Drosophila melanogaster: one gene and its partner. The protein of the gene in region 2 interacts with the protein of the main gene of each other region in a biochemical or structural test. Each region holds a gene or a part of one and is shown on either strand. Other genes may lie near its edges.

Region 1 (11,140 bases), on a different chromosome or scaffold from region 2:
ATTTATTTATTGATAAGCTTCCAGGAAGCGAATCGCATTTTTAACACTAATTGGCATCCGATATCGGAACTGTTTTTGTTTCGACTTCTGTGCCGAGTGCCCAGAAACCGATTCCCCACTTGTTTACCCAGCCAATATGACAACTCCAACGTAATCCCAATAAAAATAAAGAATCCCAGAAGAGAAACCCTTTCAACATGATTATAAAAATGTATGTATATTTACATACGAGTATTTCTCGCCGGGAAAGGAAATCTTTTGTTGATCTGGACAGCAAGGCAAACAAAACTTTGGTTCTCCTGGGGGTTTGGGTTGGAAAGTACTGGAGGTGGGGGACCAATTAAAAACGTAATGCGAATTATTTGTTTTGGAATCAAGGCGGTTAGTGCGCTATCAATGCCAAAGACGCAGACAGAAGCAGAAAGGCGATCACTGAGAGAAATTTTAGTCCGTACTCTAAAGTAATATTGATCCAAAAAGAAATTCATTCAAAAAGTACCTCAGAAATACAATACACTACAAAGTAGAATTTGTTAAGTGAAAAATATTTAATAAAATATAATTAACTGCTCAACTTTATAGATACTTAGTAAATTGGTTTCAAAAGTATCTACAAGTTACTGCTTTAATAAAAAAAATATAAAATTAGCTTGCTAGTTACAAAATTTAGTTAAAACTGTACTTTTGGTGTGTAGTTTCTATTCCCATTTCGCTGCGTGAGAATATGCTGAGACAACGGCGCCACTGTCCACCGGCTGCTCCCGATCTTTGGTGGGGTTTGGGGTCTGGGATTGGGGTCTCAGATCTGGGATCTGGGATCGGGTTGCGGTTGGCGTTGTGCAGCGAGGCAGCGCCTTATCAAGCTGCAAACAAAACGCTGCGATGACGCTGACCCAAAAAGGCGATGTCTCTGGGCGACACAGTGGCGCCATCTAGATGCAGCCATAATTTATAGTAATATTTGCTAAATAACAGACTAACTAAAATTCTTAACTCTTATCAAACTTATCGAAAAGCACGTTCTTGGTATTTCAAGCAGTGTACCAAAAACCAAAATATAGAGTAATGGGAATTACCCTTGAAACTTTGAAAAATCCCATTTATTATATCACTCGAATCTTTCTGATAAAACCGGAATCGGAATTTTCGAAAATATATCTCTTAATAATATACTATTATCAAATAATTTTCAAATTAGTTTTACCATACTGATGGATGTGTGGAGTGATTGTAGCATTTGTCTTACCGTCAATGGTGTTCCGGCTTCCGCAGCTGCTCCTTGGCAGCAGCTGCCCTCCAGTGCACCCGGCGCCGCACTGGGATCGTCCGCCTGGCGGAGCAGGCGCACCTTGGTCTGCGTGGAGGAGGAGGACGTGGCGGCGGCGTAGAAGAACCTCTGCGATGGTTGCCTGTTGTTCGGGGACACCAAGGAGCCCGCCGCTGCCTCGCTGACGATCAGGACGAGAAGGAGCACTGGCAGGATGAGCAATGGATGCTGCATGGGCTTCAGAATTCGGATTCGGGACATGGCCATGCGGATGCGATGGAAGAACAGTTTTCAATGGCGTTAGAGGACACAGAATCCGTTACAATTATCTAAAATCAAGGGATGAAACATCATTGCCATGCAATTAACATACTTTATTAATAATTTATTAATGTACTATAATTTGCGGAAGTGACCTTCCGAATCGAATGGTGAGCCATGTTTGAGACATATGTACATAAATATTTTCGGAAACTCCAAATTCAGCTTAATTTGGTTTGGAAAATTCTTCAAAGCCGCGAAGATTCGAGAAGGTAAAGATTTCTTTTCATTTGAAAATGGTTATATTTTTTGAAATTTTTTTTTTTATGCCGGTAGAAGTGTGAAGTCGCCTTTTATTCCCAGACTTCCTCTGACTGATTTACGACTTGATATATGTATGTATGTTGGAAGATGACAGAGTCAGAGATTCATATTGTTTTCCTAGGGTTAATTTACTTTTTCCCCACAATGTCAATTCTTCGGGCAGCAGGTGGTGTGCTCTTCAGGTGTGGGTGACAGGTGGGCAGGCGGGCGGGTGGTCACGTTTCCCATTCGAATTGGGGTCAGTTCGGTTATGAACGCGATGTTGGCCAACGTTGGAGGCAGCAAAAAAAAAAAAAAAAACCTGCGTCGGCCAACTTGACATTGATACAAAACGTCTTATCATCACTCCGAGGGTACGAGGGTATCGTGCGTCAGGCATATCAATGAGACAATCAACCTGCCGGGGGACAGGAAGCACCGGGCGTGTTAGTCACCAGCGGCACTCGATAAACACCCCTTAATCTCGATTGAAATCGTAAAGTTTGCGACAAATATCTTACAATGCCAATTGTAAACAATTGTAAACAATTCAAAGAACAATTAGGTGTATTAGGTGCATAGGGTAAATCAAGCAATTGTGGCTAGTTCAAGATGGTTACTAAACGACTGAGTCACGCATACGCCCCTGGCGCACACTCTTTACATGGTACTAGGCAATGCAATGCCACTACCACTACCACTTTTGGCTATGAATGAGCCGCGTTTGTTCGACCGTTTCTTTTATTATGGCCATGCCCTGACTCATAAATCAGCTACACTTGTGGCCATTAAAGCCCTCGAAGCCAAGTCAAAAGGCGGCAGGATTCTTGTGTAATCGCCAGCAATCTAGAAGACTCAAGCGGGAATTCTTCAGTTCGTTTCCTGTCTTTCAAACTCTATTTCGAATGCTAAGTGCGTAGGGAGTTTAATATTTCCTGCATATGAAAAGTAAGACTCAGCTACTGATTATGTTGCACTCGAAGGAAAAGTGCAATAATTGGTCGAAAATGAAATTATAGGTAAAATTAATCAACTGCAGAATTCGCGTTCTGCTTTCGAACAGAAGAATTCTTCTTCTTATGCTGTTAAGCCAATGATTTTATTTCCAGTGCCGGCTCCACTGTGGCTCTCGCATTTAATGCATTTCATTATTATTTGTTTTTATTCTCGTCGCTCCCTTGTTCTTATTCTTTTTTACTTATTCTTGCGTACTGCTTAAATATGAAAATTCTTATTATAGGTCAGTTCGCGTTTCCCTTTCAGCTGCACAGTCTGTTCTTCTTCTTCTTCTTCTTCGTGGGCTGTCGATAACGTAACGCACGCCTAGTGATAGTGATAAGTCCCAGTAAAACATACTAAATGCACATGCATACATACATACATAAATATACAGATTTGTATATAGCGTGCTGGTCAAGGCGCTTTATCAGCCTAGTGAATAGCAAATAAAATATAAATGGCTATTGTAAAATCGCAAAAGGCGTTCATTCATTAAAATGCAAAACAAAAAATAGAAGACGAAGAAGTGAGAAAGATGTAAACATAGCCATATGCTCCCCCATGGATCGGAAAATATATACATATGTAATGTACATACATACATGTATATTGGGTCTGGAAAAAAAATGGACTGCTAGATTCCAAGAGCTTGCTTCGCTAATTTAGTATAGATATAAACAAATAGTGGTTTGGGTAACCAACTTCATTTTAAATTCAGTTTAATCGAATTTTGGATGTACGGCGAATGAAATTTTGCTGAACATGATACCATGATAGAAAAATAGTTGGATGCAAGTTTTTAAGGAGGCTTTATGAGCCTATTTTACTATACAAATAACTTTTATAATGCAACTGGCAAATTGGAATGATCTTTATTAAAACGTACAAAGTTTTTTGGAAATACTTGTATGAACTTTTTTGTACACATAACAAAGTGTGGAAAGTTTTTGAAGATGCCGACTAATGGGTTAATGCCCATTATATGTATATACATAATTGATTATATTTCTCTAATACAAAGCTGTGGAATATGCGGACAAAGCGTTTTAAAGTGATCCTGGTTTCGTGCAGTGTATGAGGGCAAGACGAAGAAAAGCAAAGTGAGAAGTGGTGCAAAAAACAACACAGGAAAGGAGATAGCAGAATGGGTAAGAGGGGTGTGGAAAGGGGTGGGGAAGGAGAGCAAGATCGGATGGTGTTAAAAATAGCTTTAAGCTCGCCTTGTAACGGTACTCCTCGGGAGTTTCAATTTGTGTGTATGTTTCTGCACTTGCGTTTTAGGTGCAATGGGTGCACAAGTGTTTATTTGTGGGCTGCAATCAACACACACACACGCACACGGAATTCAGCTATCATTGTTTTCCTTTCTGTTTTCCTTACATTTCTTGGCTCTTTTTAACAGTTAAGCAAATACCGATTGATATGACAGACCAAACGTTGTTATTCTTTTCATCGCTCTCCCTCCCTCTCTCTTTCTCTGTTGCCAGGTGTCACGCACACCTGTGTGATTCATCTTGACATTCCTCTGTGCCGTCTTGTTGTTGTTGCTCTGTTTTTATTTTTTTTTTTGGCGGCTGCTGCACAAGCTTTGTGTGGAGTAACAGCTGTTAGCTTAACAGTTTCGGAATAATTTTCAATTGGAATTAAAAAGATATCAAGTAATTTACTAATCTATCTGCAAAGAATTTCAATAGATCTTACAAACTGAAAACAAGATTCAAAATATAATGCAGATTCTTAAAACCTCTATAGGATGTTCGTTCGACGGGTGGGCCGCTGGTGATTGCACAACCTGTCACATCGAAGGTCTCTTTAACCCGATTCAACGGTTAACTTGTGCGTCTAGTCAGTTATCAGTTATCAGTTGTTGTTGTTTTTGTTGTTGTTGCTACTGAGGCATTTCGTCAGCGCAGATATTACAGATCGACCACAGGGAGACGGATAGATGGGAGTAGTGGTAAGGGGGAAAGGCAGATTACAAAATTAAGCACGTTTTTAAATTATATATATGAATGCGAATATGTACTTATTGCGAAAGCGACAGGCTTTTGTTACTCCTCATACTGATTGCTTTTAGTACCCTGTACTAAAAAAAGGTATGCTAACTTTGGCGAAATCTGATCAGCATTTAGTTTCAAAAAACGCAATCAAGCCACTGTTTACAAGCTTTCTTTAGGAATATTAAACTTATAAGGCTATCATATGCATATATCCATGCCTCAGGTATCATATAGTCGATAGACGATACCCATATGATCTGTATTTAGTTTGCGCAGGTGTCAGCTGTATTTATTCTCACACTTTCGAGGCATTCCTTCCCGGTGCGTCACCCGAAGATATCAAATCATATCAAGTAATCTCAAGGAGGAGAAGGCGAGGAACCAAAAGGAATCATCTCGGAATCGCGATCCCCACTTGGGCGGTCCTTAATTACGCGAAGGGAGTGCCTCCCGCCAGGCAATTGCTCCCCGCACAAGAATTCCAATACAAAAGGAAGACTCAAGCGTTAATGATAAGACCGCGGGCGCGGCGCGGGCGGAGGCGTGGCAGATCAGGGAACAGGCCCATAGCTTGTCTTCCCGTCTGGTCATTCGCTCAGGCAAATCAATTACAATATAGACATGATAATAACTCCACTGCATCCATGGGCCCATGTAGACGGGGGAGCAGTAGAGCAAACAACAAACAAGAAAACACAAAACTTGGACCAACAGGAGGGCAATGGGCAATGGACAATGGGCAGTGGGTTCTACAAGCTCTACAAGATAAATTATGGATTTGCTCCCAAAGGGCTCCCAAAGGGATCGGGTCAACGGCGACGTCTGGAATGCGAGTCTAAGATTAACCGATTTCAACTTTTGGAAGGCGGAAATATGAACAAGTTTTTAAAAAACTAGGGCATATCTAAAATAATTGTTTTCTTTTTTAAGTTTAGTGAAGGTGTCACTTGCTCAAGGTATAGTTTCCTTTCTAGGATATCAAAGTTCTCCAGTTGTTTCATACAATATACGTTATAATTAGAAACGTTTACTATAATATTTTAATATTCATCACATAATATATAATGTGTGACTTTTGTGAGCAAACATTATCATTAAACGTGTTTTCTTTTAATGAAAACCCGCAAATGTGCATTTCAAAATAAATTATTTCTTAAAAATGGCATTTTTGTTCTAAAATGTTATAAATTAAAAAAAAAAAAAAAAAAACAGGAACTTTGAACACATTGCCAGCATTAGTTTATTGAACTTTATTGACGATTTATCCGCAATAACTCGATCATAAACAACTTGATATATTGCAGTTTAAGGCAGCGACTACATTTAAGCCAAGTTCACTTTCATTTGTGATTCACAAATCTTATATTCGCACGCGATTTGACGTAGTTTGATTTGAATAACGATTAAGCCCGGCTTAGACTTTGTTTTTAGGAATTCAAGCGCAACATTTTCACTGGGTTTTCCACACAGCCACTGGAATAACTCAACAGCCAGATCAAAAAACGTTAATTGCAATTGTACTTTTTTGTTTTGTTTGGTTTTTTTTTTTTTTGCATTTGTTAATGATAAAATGGTGTTCTGGTTTTGCTCGAAAGCTATTGGGGAAAAAAAACATATATATAACAAAAGGCTGTGCGCTGTGGAGAGCTTTTTAAAAGGCCCGGCTTTAGTGGGGCAGAAGTGGAAAACCATATAAACAATAACAAAAAGCAGTTTCAGTTTAAATGTTAGATGTAGTCGAGGGTCGCTGGCTTGTTTGTTTACGCTGCTGATTTGTGTTGAAATGTTGAAATTTTGAGAAGCACCACTTACTTTATGGAAACACGGCTTGAAAATTCTAAATATTATGTTTTACACGAAGTTCAATGGCACAAATCGGTTAGCACGAAACGAAAAACAAACAACAAAAAATATGTGTGCACAAATGGGGGGTTTTGTATTTAATAATTTGTGATATATATTTGAGCGCGTTTAAGTTTGTGGTGTTAGCCTCGCGGAGATCGGCGGAGCTGCGATCCAAGCACCAGCAAGTTCCGTTCAAAACTGTCGACTCGTCGGTGTGGGCCAAGTTACTGCGCCCCTATCACCACAGTCGCCAATAACAATAGCAGTAGCAGTAACTGTTGCAGTAACAGTAACAGTACCCAGCTGTCGCAGCATTGCGCTCTCCGCTCTGTACCGCAACACTCACATCCAATCCGAACCGAACCGCTCCGCTCATTACTCTCCCGATCTTGGGGCCTGGAGCGGAGCGGATGGGTTTCACTGTTAACAGTTAACGCTGGGAGAGCGCGATCTCGACTTACGCACACCCTCGCTCAGGAGGCTCGCTGAGATTTTAAATTTAAATATATATAGAGCAACATGAACAATACATATGTTACATTCTATTATCTGTCTATTGGTGGAAATGGAGTATATTATCTGATTAATCAGTGTTGTGGTGATGATAAATATTACTCATAAAGCTGCACTATTTCATCGTTATTTTCAAAGTATTCATTTTAGTGTGACATTTTACATTATGTTAACACTACGCAGCAATAATCTGTAAACTTTCTTTAGGCAATCTTTCATTCTTTCAAACTTTCCTTAGAAAATATTTCAATTGTGCCCGTTTCTATTAACCTGACTTCATGTATTGATATTTTTTTATTCATATAAGTACATTGTCTTTCAGCCATCTGCTTGCTATATTAAAGTAACTATTCGCTTATGTCTATAGTTCCTAAGATGTAAATGTAAATCGTCTCATAAGCATTAATTTTACAGCAAAAAATAAAATACGATTTTAAATTCAAGTTCGTTTGGAAAAACATTTCCGATGACTAGGATATAAATTCAAAATATTAACGCTATTAAAACGTTACATTTATCCATTGCTTAAGTATATATTAATCGTAGTTCTGGACGTGAGATGTCGCTCAGGTATCTACGATTCCGGCTAGGTTGACTGCCCTACGGATGTTCCTCACACACATGCCGTTCGAGATCGATGGCCCGGAAGAAGGGCCGCACGCAGAATTCACAGGTGTAAGTGCCGTGTCCATGGCCGCGATCCGTCTTTATGTGATCGGTGAGGTGGCACCGCTGGGTGAATCTCTTTCCGCACGTGGGACACAGATGCGGTCGGTGGTCCAGGTGCAGACTGTTAACGTGCTTCTTTAGGTGATCAGCAGTGGCGAAGTCCGCCTGGCAAATACCGCACACATGACCGCGCAAGAGGATGTGAACACGTTGCAGATGGGACCGCAGGGCTTCTCGGCTGCCATGGCTCTTGCCACAGTAGCAGCAGTCCAGGGCACTGCGTTCGTGAACCTGCTCCAGGTGCCGCACCAGGCTCAGACTGCCGGGGAATCCGTTGGCGCAGAAGGGACACACGAAAACGCTCGGCTTAGCGTTCACAATGCACGACTCCTTGTCCAGGTCGGTGGGCCAGCCAAAGGTGAGATCGTCGTCCCAGTCGATGCTGGGCAGTATGTTCTCAATGTTCTCCTCTAGCATCTCAAGATCCTCCATTTCATCAACCTGGCTGTCTGCAGGGATCGGATTGAATAGTATTATTAAGCAGGGTATGCCATTAACATCACAACTACTCGTAAGCAGAATACCTACCTGCATCACTGGCCGTGGACTTCAGGGTACGCAGGCGATGCACCTCCTCGGCGTGCTCCTGCAGCTCCAGCATCCCGCTAAAGGTCTTAACGTCGTTGCAGTTGTCCGTGCACATGTCGCAGTAGAACAGCGACTGCTGGCCGTGCCAACTGGCAACATGACGGTAAAGAAACGTGGCTGACGCGTACTTCTTGCCGCACTGCAGGCACAGGAACTGGCCATCGTTGTGCTTTCGCTCCCGATGCCGCTCCAGCCGGGCCTCCTCGCCGAAAAGCGTCAGGCAGTGGGGGCAGACGAAAAGACGCCTCACCCTGACGGAGCACTGCTGCTCGTGCCGCTTGGCGGCCAGATGACGAGAGAACTCCGCAAAACAAACGCCGCAGTGGTACGTACGCTTCTTGGCCGGCTTCTTCGCCGCCAGCGGCAGGGCTCCGCGGTTGCTCGCTCCCGGCGCTTTTGGCCGGATGGGCACCGGTTCCATAATTTTAGCTTGTCCAATTAAAATTGTTGTTACAAGCAAAACTGCTCGCTGACTATCGATATCGGAAGGCGCGATTTGTTATCGATTGACCGCAAGTGCCGGGAAGCCAAAAGTGTGACTGCAGCGCGAAAGCTGAACAGAATATATCAATAAGCGGTCACATTTACTTACCGAAGTGTTCAAAAACAAAAATCAAACATTTTCAAATTAAATTCTTCATATTCCCATTGAAAAGAGCCCGCTCGTACATTTTCGTCACTTGAATATTTATTGTACTTCATTTAAATCATTTTGTATTTGAATTTTTTTTACATACTTTTATGGTTTTTAATTTCATCAGCATAATTCAATAATATATAGTTTTTGTATAGTATAATAATTTTATAACACGTTTTTCTGCACTGTGCAAATAATTTTCCCATCAACTTCTATTCAATTAGCGAATTTCCTTTTAGTTATTTGCGTGATGGAGTGTTGATATTCAAATTTCCTTGAATTCTTTAGTACAGTCTACATTAAATTGTTTTACATTTGATTTCATTTACCGACTAACATTTTGTTGTATATTCTTTTTTGGGTTTTTTTTCTCAAAATAATTCATGTTTTTAACACTTTTATAATAGTATAAGCTGTATACACTTATAATAAATGACTTGAATACATAATAACAAACGCCTCGGTTACAATCTTCAATCTTCACAACTGTATTCATGACCCAGAATTTACATGGCGTTACTAAAAGCTCTGGAATCTTATGTATTAAGCATATTGTTTTGCGCATTCCTGTCCTCTAATCAGTGATGTGAGCACTAATTATCCAGAAATTAAAGTAAATATTTGCAGGGCAATGCCACCCACCTGACGCGTGAAGTAGTACACACTTATGTAATCCATTAAACATACATAGTTATCGAATTCTTTGTTCTTATTATCAAAATGGCGCTGTGGCGGCTCAATCAATCCATCGGACCTCTAATGGTTCCTTAGTTCTATGCTCATCCGATACTCAAAAGTTCAAATAACACAATGGTACAACTTAAACACACAAGCAACATTTTTGGTTTCGAAATTCCAACACTACAATCGAAAAATCGCAGCCAGTTCTAAAAAAGACCTTTTTTCGATCATCACAAAAATGTAACAGAACTTCTTCATATTAAAAATGCACTTTAAAGTTAAACACTTGAATCGAGAACGTATGATCTTGTATTTGCATTTTCTATCAACTGGGACGATTTTTGCAGAATGCTATGGGTGGGGGTAATCACTTAAATGCACATCAAACGTTCAATAAAAGCGAAATGGGATCAAATCAGGTAACAATTGAATACGATCTAATAACACGATTATCCATTAGCTAAAGTTATTCTTTGTTGCATGCAATGATTTAGTAACTTATTCACACTTTTATTCGAACATTTTGAGTACCGGGGTGGAGTAAAGTCGACAGCCGCGCTCTTGTGTTATATTTTTGTGTTTATGTAAGATTTCTGTTTCGGCAAGGAACCCATAAATATGCATGGGAACACTTAGTGTAAGCGATTAAAAGATATTCTCCATTGACTACTAAAAACATTCGGAACTTGTTCTTGCGATTTGCGTTTAAAGTAATTCATATCTTGCCTGCATTTGAATCTTTTGTTGTAAACTCTTAGTAAACTATTCATTTTTGGCATATTTGACTTACAACAACGGTAATACAAAAAAGTAAATGTACATAAAAAACAACAACAATACAATTTTCCTCCGCATTTACTACAACTTCCTTGGTGTTGTTCTAAAAGCTGCTATTATATATTTCGACAACAATTTCGGAACTGCTGCTGCTGCTGCTGATTTGTTCGGTTTGCATTAGGTATTCTTTTTTTTTTCCTTTTTTATTTTTCACTTGTATCTGTATTTTTGAATTTTTCATTTTATATTTTATTCTTTAACTCTTTAATTGCTCGGCTCGCATGAAGCAAAGTTAACGGTGGTTTCATGTACACATTTTGTACGCACGCCCTACACATCGGCACATCGTTCCTATTTTTCTATATGCTCTATAAGTTCAATATGCTCTATACTGATGTATGTTATGTACTCCCCGTACCCGTACCCGTACCCATACCATCGTAATATTTCGTAATATCTATGCAACACTGGCTTTGATTTTCGGTACGCTCTTTACATTGGGGGGGATATCGTTTTGGGGACTTACATATGTATGTATGT
Region 2 (10,973 bases):
TTCCATGTTTTTCCAACAAAAAAAAAGAGAAATGAAATAGCATTCCATTCCACCACTGTTCTTTACGCCGAAACTTTTGACAGTTTAACGCTTTGCCGGGAAAATCTTTCAACGTTATTTGATTCTTTATGGCCAATGAACGGAAAACTTGCACAGCTCGTGCTTTTCACGCGCTGCATGTGCAACAGATTCATTTCGAGGCTTGAGTGCGGTTTTTGTGGCTTTCCCTCACGTGTTCCTGAAAAAAAAAATGTATTTCACTCTGAAAATTTAGCCGCCTACGTGCTACGTGCAACGGCTGACCCTCGTCACGGACGAATTTTCCTGCTGCTTTCCACCGTTGTCCATTTTAATTTGCAACTCCCTTGTACAAATTGAATTTATATGGGCCACAAGCTATGTGTTTATTTTTGCAATTATCCCGGATTCGAGAAAAGTAAGTGTGTCTCCATTGTTCCGACTACCTTTTGTTTGGGCCAACGAAAATTTACGACTCTTTCGTCGGAGTTTTTCCGTGCTTTTATTTGATTTTCCCGCTGACCTTTGGCGTTGCGTGTTTCTGTGTTGGTGCACAAGTCAAGTGTTTTCCTTTGTTTTTTCCATTACAATTGAAATTTCGCGCACCACATCTTAATGGAAAGTTGAATCGTTCACGAATTCTGTGATTGCAATTGCAAACATGCCGCTGGCTTCTGGCCAAAATAATGAGCAGTCGCCATGGAGAAATACGAAGAAACTACTTGTATCGGAAAATATTTTTATCCATCTGCATTGCCTGGAAGCGGACAAAGGGGTGTGGCCTTTCATTTGCTTCATTAAAAATTCAGAAAAGCGCCACGCAGTCAAATTGAAATTTGCAATTTGGGCCAAGCTGAGATTTGTTGGCTCGTAAATCAAACTATTTGTCAATCGGTTAACAGCGGTATCGAGAGATCTGGGGCCAATCTGCCCACCCAGGCCAAAAAACCGCGTGTGGGCCTTTTGGCCAACTCTCGTTTCGTTGGCCCAAAACACCGTTCAACCAACGTTCTGCATAATGACGCTACTTTTGTCCCAGTTTGCGTGCCTCTTAATGATGGCGGGTATGTGGATGGTGACATGGTAATGGTTCCTTACGCGGAATGCCAGCTAATTCCATTAACCAATAGGCTTTCGTCAGGACAACAAATGTTCGCAAGTGGGCGTTAGCTAACCAAAAACGCTAATGAACGCAAGGATGTCATAGGGATAAGCATTTAGTTAGCTTCAAATGCCAAAAAGATAATGGAATTGCTTTTGCCATCCAACTTATTTCGCAAAGAAAGCCAGCAAAGTTTCAAATAAAGTTTTTGGTGTCACACAAAATTTATTATCGCCTAATTAAAAAAAATTGAATTGTTTGCGACTCGTAGCAGCAAATTATTGATTTAAATTGTCAACAAAAACAGAATCTTTAAACTGGCAATATATGAATCCATTTAAAGCCAAGTGTGCTATATAAAATATTTTTCGCTTTAATAAAAGCTGACTAATTAATTTTTGGCGAGCTAGAAAGCTAATGACAATTCCAAGGTAATGCGTCTGCAGAATTAATAGATCTTGATACTTGATTAATTGAGCAGACATTTTAGCACCCTTCGATTGAGGTCACTTGACTTGTGGGTAATCTGCTATCAGCGGGAACATCTGGTTTAATGTCTATTGTCCGACTCTAATTAATTGATATATGGTTCCGTTTCAATTGACATTTTTGTTCCTTTTTTTTTTTGGGCAAGTGCACAGCGCCCGCTGTAAATTCCGCCCACAAACAAGAGCTAGTTTTGCAGTTTTTGCGTTGGCTCCACTGGTTGTTGGCCACGCCCCCCCACCAACTACGCCAACGCCCACGACTATATCCCCGCCCATTTGGCATTCCACATACCAAATTCCCAGCTGAGAATAGAAATACGGGCTTCTGTGCGCAGATCTAATGCATTTTGAAGCGATAGCTGCAAGACAAATGCCCAAACAACACGAGCTGTGAGCAAAAAGCAAAAGTGACGCCTTGATGGATTGGCAACTGGAAGCGAAGAATAATGGGTTACAGAAATCAGTCGCAGCCTCAGATCCCCGAGAAGCTGCAAGATTAAGGGAAACTTCTAGCTAAACTGCGGGCGCACTGCAAGATAAACTATCTGGCAAATAGCGAGTTCTTAACACCATTTCGCAACGGCCTATCTTTTCAACCATTTGGCTGCGATAAGGTCAGGAAAGAGATACGGGGCTTGATTATGTTAAGTAATTGCCTAGCAGAAGCGGCGAAAATAATTTAATGTCTTTTTTTTTTGGCAACCTTTGCATAATGCGCAAAGAAAGTCAAATGGCATAAAAGTGAAATTACCGGAGTAATGTATCTTTCAGTTGAGTCATTTGGGAAACTTTATTTTTCGGTTGTATAACTCTTCAGTTGTCACTCGAGAGATTTGGAAAAGTTGTTTCTTTTCTTTTCCATAAACTGGGAACTTAATAAAAATAATAGAAAGACCATTGCCGGTGAAATTGAATCGTTGGCATTCTGCCCACATATTATACAACTACAACGCGTGGCGACAACAAGTTGGTTGGTTGGCCAGCTGCTGGCGAATAAATAGAAATGTTATATGCGTTCACTTAATAGCCGACAAGTGTTTAATTTGTTTGTTTTGGGTTTCGCCCGATTAATAAATAAATATGGCCAATGTATATAGCCCATTTAGTGCCTCGCCGTGACCTCAAAACATGGCTCAATTTTATGCGATTTGTTTACTCAATGCATTTTTTGTTTTGACTGGCTGGCTGCCTTCTGCCATTTTATTCCCGACGGAAATAAGATTGCTTTTATATATATATATACATATATTTTCTTATTTCCCTGATTCTCCGAAGTGCACTTGATTACGTGCAGTTTATGGGGCAGATAAAATTTTCCCAACGAATGGGCTTTAGTCTAAAGTTTCCAGCGCTTATGAATGGGCTTTAGTCTAGGGCTCAGGTGAAAGCCAATTGCCTGCTTAGCCTTTTTTTTTGCAGATTTATGGCCAAGTTATTTCCACCTCTCCATGCAGACAGTTACAATGGCCTGGCCAAAACATTTGTTGTCCGCTGTCAATTTATTATTTGTTATTTATTATTTACGTTCTGACTCAGACCACGGCGGATGTAAAGAGGCGAAGGTGTCCATTCATAGAATGCCAAACCAACCAACCAACCAGCCAGCCAACCAACAAAGTGGTGTGAAAACGTGTTCAATGCTGGCCGAGATTGTCCAACGAATCGGTTTTATTTATGGCTTATTGGTAACCGGCAAATTCAATTAAACAGATATTATCTTAAATGGAAATTTATGAGCCAATTCGCCCAAAGAGTTAAGGGGTTTCTCAAAAATGTTTCAGCTTATCCGAACTGCCTTAGAGAAACGCAAAATGATTTTTCTCTCTACAGATGTACAAAATGTACCTAAACTCAATTCTAGTGTTTTTATCTACAACAGGAAGTCAATCTTCTGTGCATAAGCAATCCTCTTGAGATTAAAAAGATCTCTTGTGCAATAATACATATCAGCATTCTAAATATCTCTAGAGATATTACAATCGCTTGAAATGCACACAAATTCGTTGTCACACACATTCTTTGATTATTTTGAAGTCTATTTTCGGCGAGTTCTGCTTAAATATTTTGTGTGTATTTATAATTAGTTTCTATTAATGCGAAAGAACTACTTTGTTCATTTTTTCCAGTGCATACAAAGTAATTTATTCGTAATGGAGCTCTCTACTTCAGCACAATCAACTACAGTAAAGTATCTCTAATTTGACACCCACTGCGGGGGGCGGGGCAGGTGTGCGTATCTGGTGGATACTTGGCCATAAGCCCCACCTGATTAATGTGCCATGTGCATAATGGGTAGGTGTGAAAAAGAGGTGCAAGTGGCCAGTAGCAATGTGATGGGTGCACATTTTCCAAGAACCACTAGTATCCATTGATTATTCTGGCTTATCACAACAGTTGTTCAACGCTTGATGCCAGGTGAATTGCGAATTTGGCCAGGGGAATTACAATAAATATTTCATCAACACCATTCGCGGACATTTTTATGACTCCAAACTTTGACGATTCGTAGCAGTTTTGTACCACATTTTCCGGACATTGAGAACGATGGCAATTAACAACAGCCTGGGCTGGGCAGCCTTTTGAAGTGGCCAGAGATAAATGGAGCAGTCGGCAAACTGAAGGAGGTCTGTATTCAATAAACAAATTGGGCACAGTGTGCAATTGGAGGCAATGAATTATGGGCATCTGATTTGATCAGAACTTCTCGATCCTGAGTCACGTATTGGGGGAAAATGTATCAACAGTTCGTTTGGTCAAGAAACGGATGGCGTGGAACCGGTTTAAGAAAGTCGCTATAGACACATTCAGTTGACCAGGCAAACAAAAGAAAGGTGAACCCTTTCTTCTATATATATATGTACATATATATGTATATATACCAACTTTATTTGGGTGTTTCTGGAAAAGCAGTATGAGTAAATTCGAAATCCATCGTAGTGTTATTCATATTTTCATAGTCTTACGCAGTCTACCGTTTGATCGCAGCAGCTTGGCAACAACAACAACTATTGAAGATACAACAACAACTTTTGAACGTACAACAGTCACGATCGGCGATGAATCACGATTTGAATACCTGGCACCGGTGGATGTTTGCAGTCTTGATTACTTGGAATGCCGCTGACGTATTCACCATAGACACACGCACACTTTTCGTAGACCCAACACTTATATGCACTTATCAATGAATAATACCAGGCAGTGATAATAGCACACACACACACACACGCACTTAGAAAAAGGTCACTGATAATAGTTCATTATGTACACCATCTATAGGAGCATAGTGACCATGACTATTTTGGGTGTTTTTTTTTTGTATAATTGCATCGAATTGAGCAACATCACGAGCGCCGAATTCGATTTCGATTTTCGAGCTTACGATTGACAATCACTTAGAACTCTTGTCAACCACCTGTGGCTGAGTTTGCACTTGTATTCGAATTCCGATTCGTATCTGTGTTTGTTTTTTACTTTTGCGAAGGTGTGGGGGTTCGCTCACATCGATATCTAAACTTTTGAGTGCGGATTCATTTGCTTAGCACCTTTGATGCTTCACTTATACTTATATACGACACGATTTGGTTTCGTTTCCACACGATTCTATATCTATATTATCGGACGTATCTTCGAGCCTTTCAAAAATTAACGCTTACGTTGTGGTTTTCTGTGCTTAACACTTTCTGCGTGGGGCACTTCAGCAGTATCGGTTGCTCTTGAAAGACAATAAATACTGCGTCGTCGGCAAAGTTTGAACAGTTTGCACCGAACACAAGTCAAAAGCCCGCGAAATTTCCTTCCGCTTTGACGTCCGAACAGCTCGAAAAGTTAACGTTAACTAGAGCTGGGGCACTATCGACGGTACTATCGAGGTATCCGATTCGATTGTTATTTTTTGCTATCGATGAGCGTTATCTACAGCATGTAGAATAGAACGGATAGAATAATATTTTTGTTATATCTTTAGTCAACATCATTTGAATTTTCTTGTTTCGTTAGGGAGTTTATCTCTCGTTTAGTTTCCTTTTATTATTATTTCATTATTATTTTGAAAGGTGAAGTGTACTAAATAACGAGCTAAAAATTGAACGCAATCACGCTATTCGCGGCGATGCCAGACCGCTTGAAAACAGTTCCAGTTGGCCAGTGGCGGCCAGTGATGCCATGCGTACTAAATTTCCTAACGGTTTTAGTTTTAGATCGAAGTGCTTAAAATAAAGTTTTCTTTTATTAAATAATATTTAGTATCATTTAAGCATTTCTAACGATTTGTCAGCTGAGTAAGGGGATTGTGATTTATAAGGGTCTCGACTATAGCATTTTCACTACTTTCCACCTATTAAATATTTTCAGGAAACTGGTAAATCCTTTTATTCTACAATAAAGTATAATACAATTTCCATTTATTATTGATAAGAAATAGTACATTTTATTCATTCGGTTTCACAAAGTGGCCCTGGAAATAAATGGTTTCCCTATCGCGAATGACATAGGCAAAAGGATGATCGGCATTAAAAACCATTTGAGATGACGGCATAGGCATACTATAGCGCACGAAAAGTAAAGCTGGCAAAAATAAAACATATTATACAAATATATATATAATAAAATTATATCATACCTGTTGCAGCCGCTGCCTCAGCTCCTTCTTCATTAACCTCGATGAACGCCTTATGAATGACTTTTTTCACATGAACGTTACTGTTTTCGACCAGATCTTTGAAGTCAGCAGATTTTTCGAACGCATCTTGTATGCCCATCTATAGATGAATATCTATAAATTGTAAGGGTGTATCAAGAATAATCTGTGAATACTCACCGCCACAAGAACTTTGTTTAGTTGAGCGAAGAATTCGATTTTAAACTTGGGAAGCCTTAAAGTTACATCCATTTTGGAAAGTTTCGGTTTGAATCCTACAATCTTTTTCTCCAGCTCTGATAGTCCATCGACCTGGTCCGGTAGAAAAATTAGCATGGACAGGCTTGAATTTCTGTAGGGCAGCTCGATAATTTTGGCACCCAGTTCACTATCATGTGCGGCCCTAAATGATTGAAATAGTGACATCATCTCGACAGGAACACTCTTTTGATCCGAAACACGGAAATTCCTCTTCTTCGTTAACTTGGGATTAAATTTGTACTCCCACTGGCCTTTAAAGTATATGGCATTTAAGACGATCAATTCCATTTTCGACATGTCATTGGATGAAACTAAGTCTTTGATTTTACCACGCGTCTGATTATCTACCCAATTATTGACAATTGAAGAAGCCTTATTGGGATCGACAATGTCGATTGCCTCCGCTTCAGCCATAAATGAATCCTTGACCATCTGATTGTAACTCGGTACTAGCTGGAACTTTTTGTTCACGTATATGCGATTAGCCAAACTGAGAGTGGCTACCTTCTCGCGTCCTTCGAGTTTACTCAGAAGGTCCTTGTATTTGGCTGCCACTTCCTTTTTGTCATCGGGCAGTTTCAAAACATTCCTCATTTCTTGGGCTGTCTTTGCCCTGGCTCCCATGTAGGCCATGCTCAGTGCGATTTCCACGGAAAGGGGAGAGGAAATGAGATTATTGGCCGCATTTTCCTTGGCCAAAAGTTGGTAGAAATCGTCGGCAAAGCGACAAGATACCGACGTGGCCAAAAGAAGCAGACCTGCGTTGCAATTATTACCTATTCCTCTTTGATTAACTTGTATTTTATTAGTTTACTTACACAAATGCTTCATTTTAACGTCGATCGAGATTAAGAACAAATTAGAAATTACGGATTATATATAGTCTGCATTATAATCAAATTAGACTCGCCAGCGCGATATAAAATTTATGCGCTTCGGTTGGATTTCATTAAGCCATTCTTAAAGAATATAAATGAATGGCATTACACAATTAAACTTAAATGTATAAATTCCATAACAACATATGTAATTTGTCGAATCTAATTTGATTAGTAAACCAAGTATAAATAGTCTACTTCGTTTTAAAGATCAGTAATAATGAACTAATTTTCTAATAGTTTTAAATACTCAATAAATAAATCAGGTTGTTTTAAAAAACAGACCAACTTTTGCTACAAAAATGGTATGATTATTTGTCAAACATCCGTGTCGCAACATTTTAATCAATTGCATGCCATTTAAAGCCCCAACTTCGCATTCAATCATATCTGCGGCTAACAAAGCAGTGACATGGCATACAAGTAACAAGAGTGATGGCCACTTATCAATTACAGAAAACAGATTTTAACGGACTCCTGATGAGTCCGATTTTAGCCACATTCATATGGTTTCGAATGCAAACACATTCACATTACGGGAGATCAAGAGATCAAACTCCAGCGACACGCTAGGAACACAAACAATAACATGTCGTGGGTGTAATTAAAATTGGATGACCACAAAGTTCCATAATATTTCCGACATTTAGAGCGGTCTAATGGATGACCGTCTGGCCAGTGGAGTTTGAGCAATCAATTGAGCCGAACGATCACTGATCGCTGCAGCCAAATACCGCTTAATGCGCAAATAATTGTGGATTTCGGGGGAAACGAGGCCAGCGAAAGTTCCGTATAAATAGGGGTTGAGCCGTCCAGGAGTTTACAAATTCATCCAAAACGCGGAGTGAACATAATGTTGCGTCTGATTTGCGTGTTCCTGCTCAGCTGCGTTGGCTTCCAGGCAGCCTTGGCTTGCGTAAGTATGGCAGGAGCTCCGTGGACCAGATCTATAAGCTATCTTTTGCCCAGAATGGCTACAAAGCCAAGCTGGTCAAGTTGGAGAACTGTGCCGGCGAGGATGCCATTATGACGGTGGGCAGTGACTTCAGCCTGAAGCTAAACAAGAAGTGTGAACTGGTACCCTCGGGCTGCATCATGAACAAGCCGTTCAGTACCGCGGTGGCTAAGTTCAAGGTCCAGAAGGATGGCATCGTAATGAAGGAGGGCAAGATCGATCTATGCGCCGCCATTGATCAGGCCTCCTCCGAAGGTAAGGACATGCTAAAGCTTTTCGGAGCACCTTCCTCCTGTCCGGTGGGCGAGGAGAAGGTGTGCGCCAACGATCACTCCGTGGATCTGAGCAAGTACAAGGCCATGTTGGGCATGGCTCGTGGTCACCTCATCATCGATTCTGAGGTCAAGCATGACACGGTGAGTTTATTTCCAATATATATGATAGATATTTCGATGACACCTTGTTGTATTTTCCTCCAGGGCAAGTCCTGCATTCATGCCGAAATCGAGATCACCAAGAACTAGTGACGGAATCCGATCGTTGGTCTTATGTTTGTATTATGAGTCTTGCAAATCATGTAGTTGTAAATACGAGGGCAAAAAAAAATTGGTAATGCGGTGCACACACAGTGATTAAATATACAGAAAATACCGAATTGAAATTATCACAATGCTCTCTATAAGTTATTTCAAATATCTGCGGGAATTTAATTAAATTGATCTTTTTTGTGTCCGATCCTGAAGATCACGCTGCAGCTGGCGTTTCAGCTGCTGGAGCGTCTCCTGGCGCTCCGGAGGCACCTCCAGGTGCAGAAGTCGTACCATTTTGGGGTGGTGGCGGACTTGGTTCAGCCATGTGGTAGTGACATGCATCTCTGCACGATTGCAAACTATGGAACTCATTCCTCCTGTAGATCTTGCGGCAATTTGTGGTCACCTTAAATGATCAAAGGACCTAAAGGATATGCTCGTGATCGTTTCTCGCTTCTACCTTTATGCAGTCGAATAGAACTCGGTGAAAGGCAAAGAATTCCCGATGCGATGATCTACAAGAAGATTCGGGGGGATATTTGTTTTTCACCAGACAGGAGCTGTTCTTAGCTAGAAAATCGGTAATTGAGTGAATGGTTGAGTATTAAGTTCAATCTTACTCCTGGTCTTGCCAGCCTCTATAAGAAGCCAAGCGAGGGCAACAATCACCGCCAACAGCAGTAGCTTCATGACGGATCATCAGATGGTTGGCGGCTAAGTGGACATCCAACTGGCAAAGCATTAATACTTAACACGGCATTAAGCATGAAAATTGCCATTTGCCATAAAAGTAAATGCTATATTTGTGTGGATTACCAAATGAAGGCTGAGCTCTCTAAGAAAAAAACATCGTGGCTAAATATATTAGTAATATCTCTTTATATATCAGTGTATACAATTGTAACATTCCACAACACTTTCGGCTTACAAATACGTTTGAGAAACAATTAAAACTTATGGTTAGTCCGATACGAGTAGCGAAGGTAGTGTAGTTAAGGTAAGGAAGCTGTTCATCGAAGACCGTCTTGGGCAGAGTGAGGATTTGGTAAGTGGAAGAGCTTCAGCTTCAGCTTCAGCTTTCAGCTTCATCTAGCAGATTCCGGAAAAGCTGTAGTCAAACTCGGTGTTCTTCTCGTTTAGGCGACCCAAATACTGGGAGTGCTTGATCCCAAAGCTGTAGGCGGGCACATGGGAGAGGTTTACCTATCGTGAAGAGTAATTGGAAGGCAGAAACAACCCATTGATTATGATGTGTTGACCAAATGAATTTAATGGCAAAATACATTCTCAAATATTATCGTAGGGCTTGTCCGCCCGATTCTCCAACAAAGAGCGAACACAACGCTGCGGAACGTTGACTGGCAATGGTTTCTTGATATAGGGGGAGTGCAGGATGCCAAAGGATATGGCAGGAGGCGAACGTTTCTCCCAGTACTGTGGGAGGGTTTAGGATGAGGTGAAATCTATTTGCACGGAGTGATGTCCCACAGGTAAGAGCCGTTTTATGGTAATTATCAAAGGATATTGGTTAAATAACTGACCTTTCCAATTTATCGCAAACGGCACATTACCCTTACCCACCAAAAATACTTTTAATACAGGGCAAATTTGTTTCTGAATCTCAATAATCTTACGAACTCTTTCAGGACGTAAGGACGAGATCTGACTCACCTTCTCCGGACAGTGCGCTCCGGGTCCGGGCTTCGAGTCCTCGCTGCCCATCTTGTACTTGCCGCGCATGGAGAAGACTGGTGGCTTTGGTTTGACCACCGTGTACTCGCCGTCGTAGTAACCGGGTCCGGGGAAGATCATCACCGGAATCAGCGGAGGCTTCTCCCGACCCGTAATCGTATAAGCCGGAGCCGAACGAATCTTGCCCTCCTTGCTGCTGCCCATGACGGTCGGTATTTTGTAGACATTAGGAGCTGTCAATGATGGCAAAATGTGTGTAAAAAGTTAGTTGAGAATAGTTAATTCATTTGCTGGTTAATTCAATGGCTTGTCTCTTGGGCTGGTGTTTGAATGGTTCGGGTTAGTTTCGGGTTGGATTGGGTGATCTTGGTCTTGACATGACGTGCCTGCAAATAAACACACGAAACGGA

Evidence for each region.
Region 1: the proteins of Pvr (region 2) and Pvf1 form a complex in vitro, tested with the Drosophila melanogaster proteins (one study listed by BioGRID).

The regions. Positions count from the first base shown.
Region 1 is NC_004354.4:18,828,449-18,839,588, reverse strand, and holds the start of Pvf1 (PDGF- and VEGF-related factor 1), read right to left. Parts: upstream 6,908-11,140; 5' UTR 6,643-6,907; intron 1,597-6,642; 5' UTR 1,535-1,596; coding exon 1,247-1,534; intron 1-1,246. Other genes in the region: CG7101 (uncharacterized protein), read right to left, coding at 7,789-8,366, 8,446-8,926.
Region 2 is NT_033779.5:8,234,428-8,245,400, forward strand, and holds the start of Pvr (PDGF- and VEGF-receptor related), read right to left. Parts: upstream 5,452-10,973; 5' UTR 5,265-5,451; exon of another isoform or gene 4,492-5,264; intron 1-4,491. Other genes in the region: Spn28F (serpin 28F), read right to left, coding at 6,038-6,174, 6,230-6,368, 6,428-7,266, 7,327-7,339; CG14277 (uncharacterized protein), read left to right, coding at 8,240-8,302, 8,356-8,757, 8,821-8,865; CG43057 (uncharacterized protein), read right to left, coding at 9,086-9,277, 9,332-9,441, 9,492-9,561; CG8086 (uncharacterized protein), read right to left, coding at 10,790-10,796.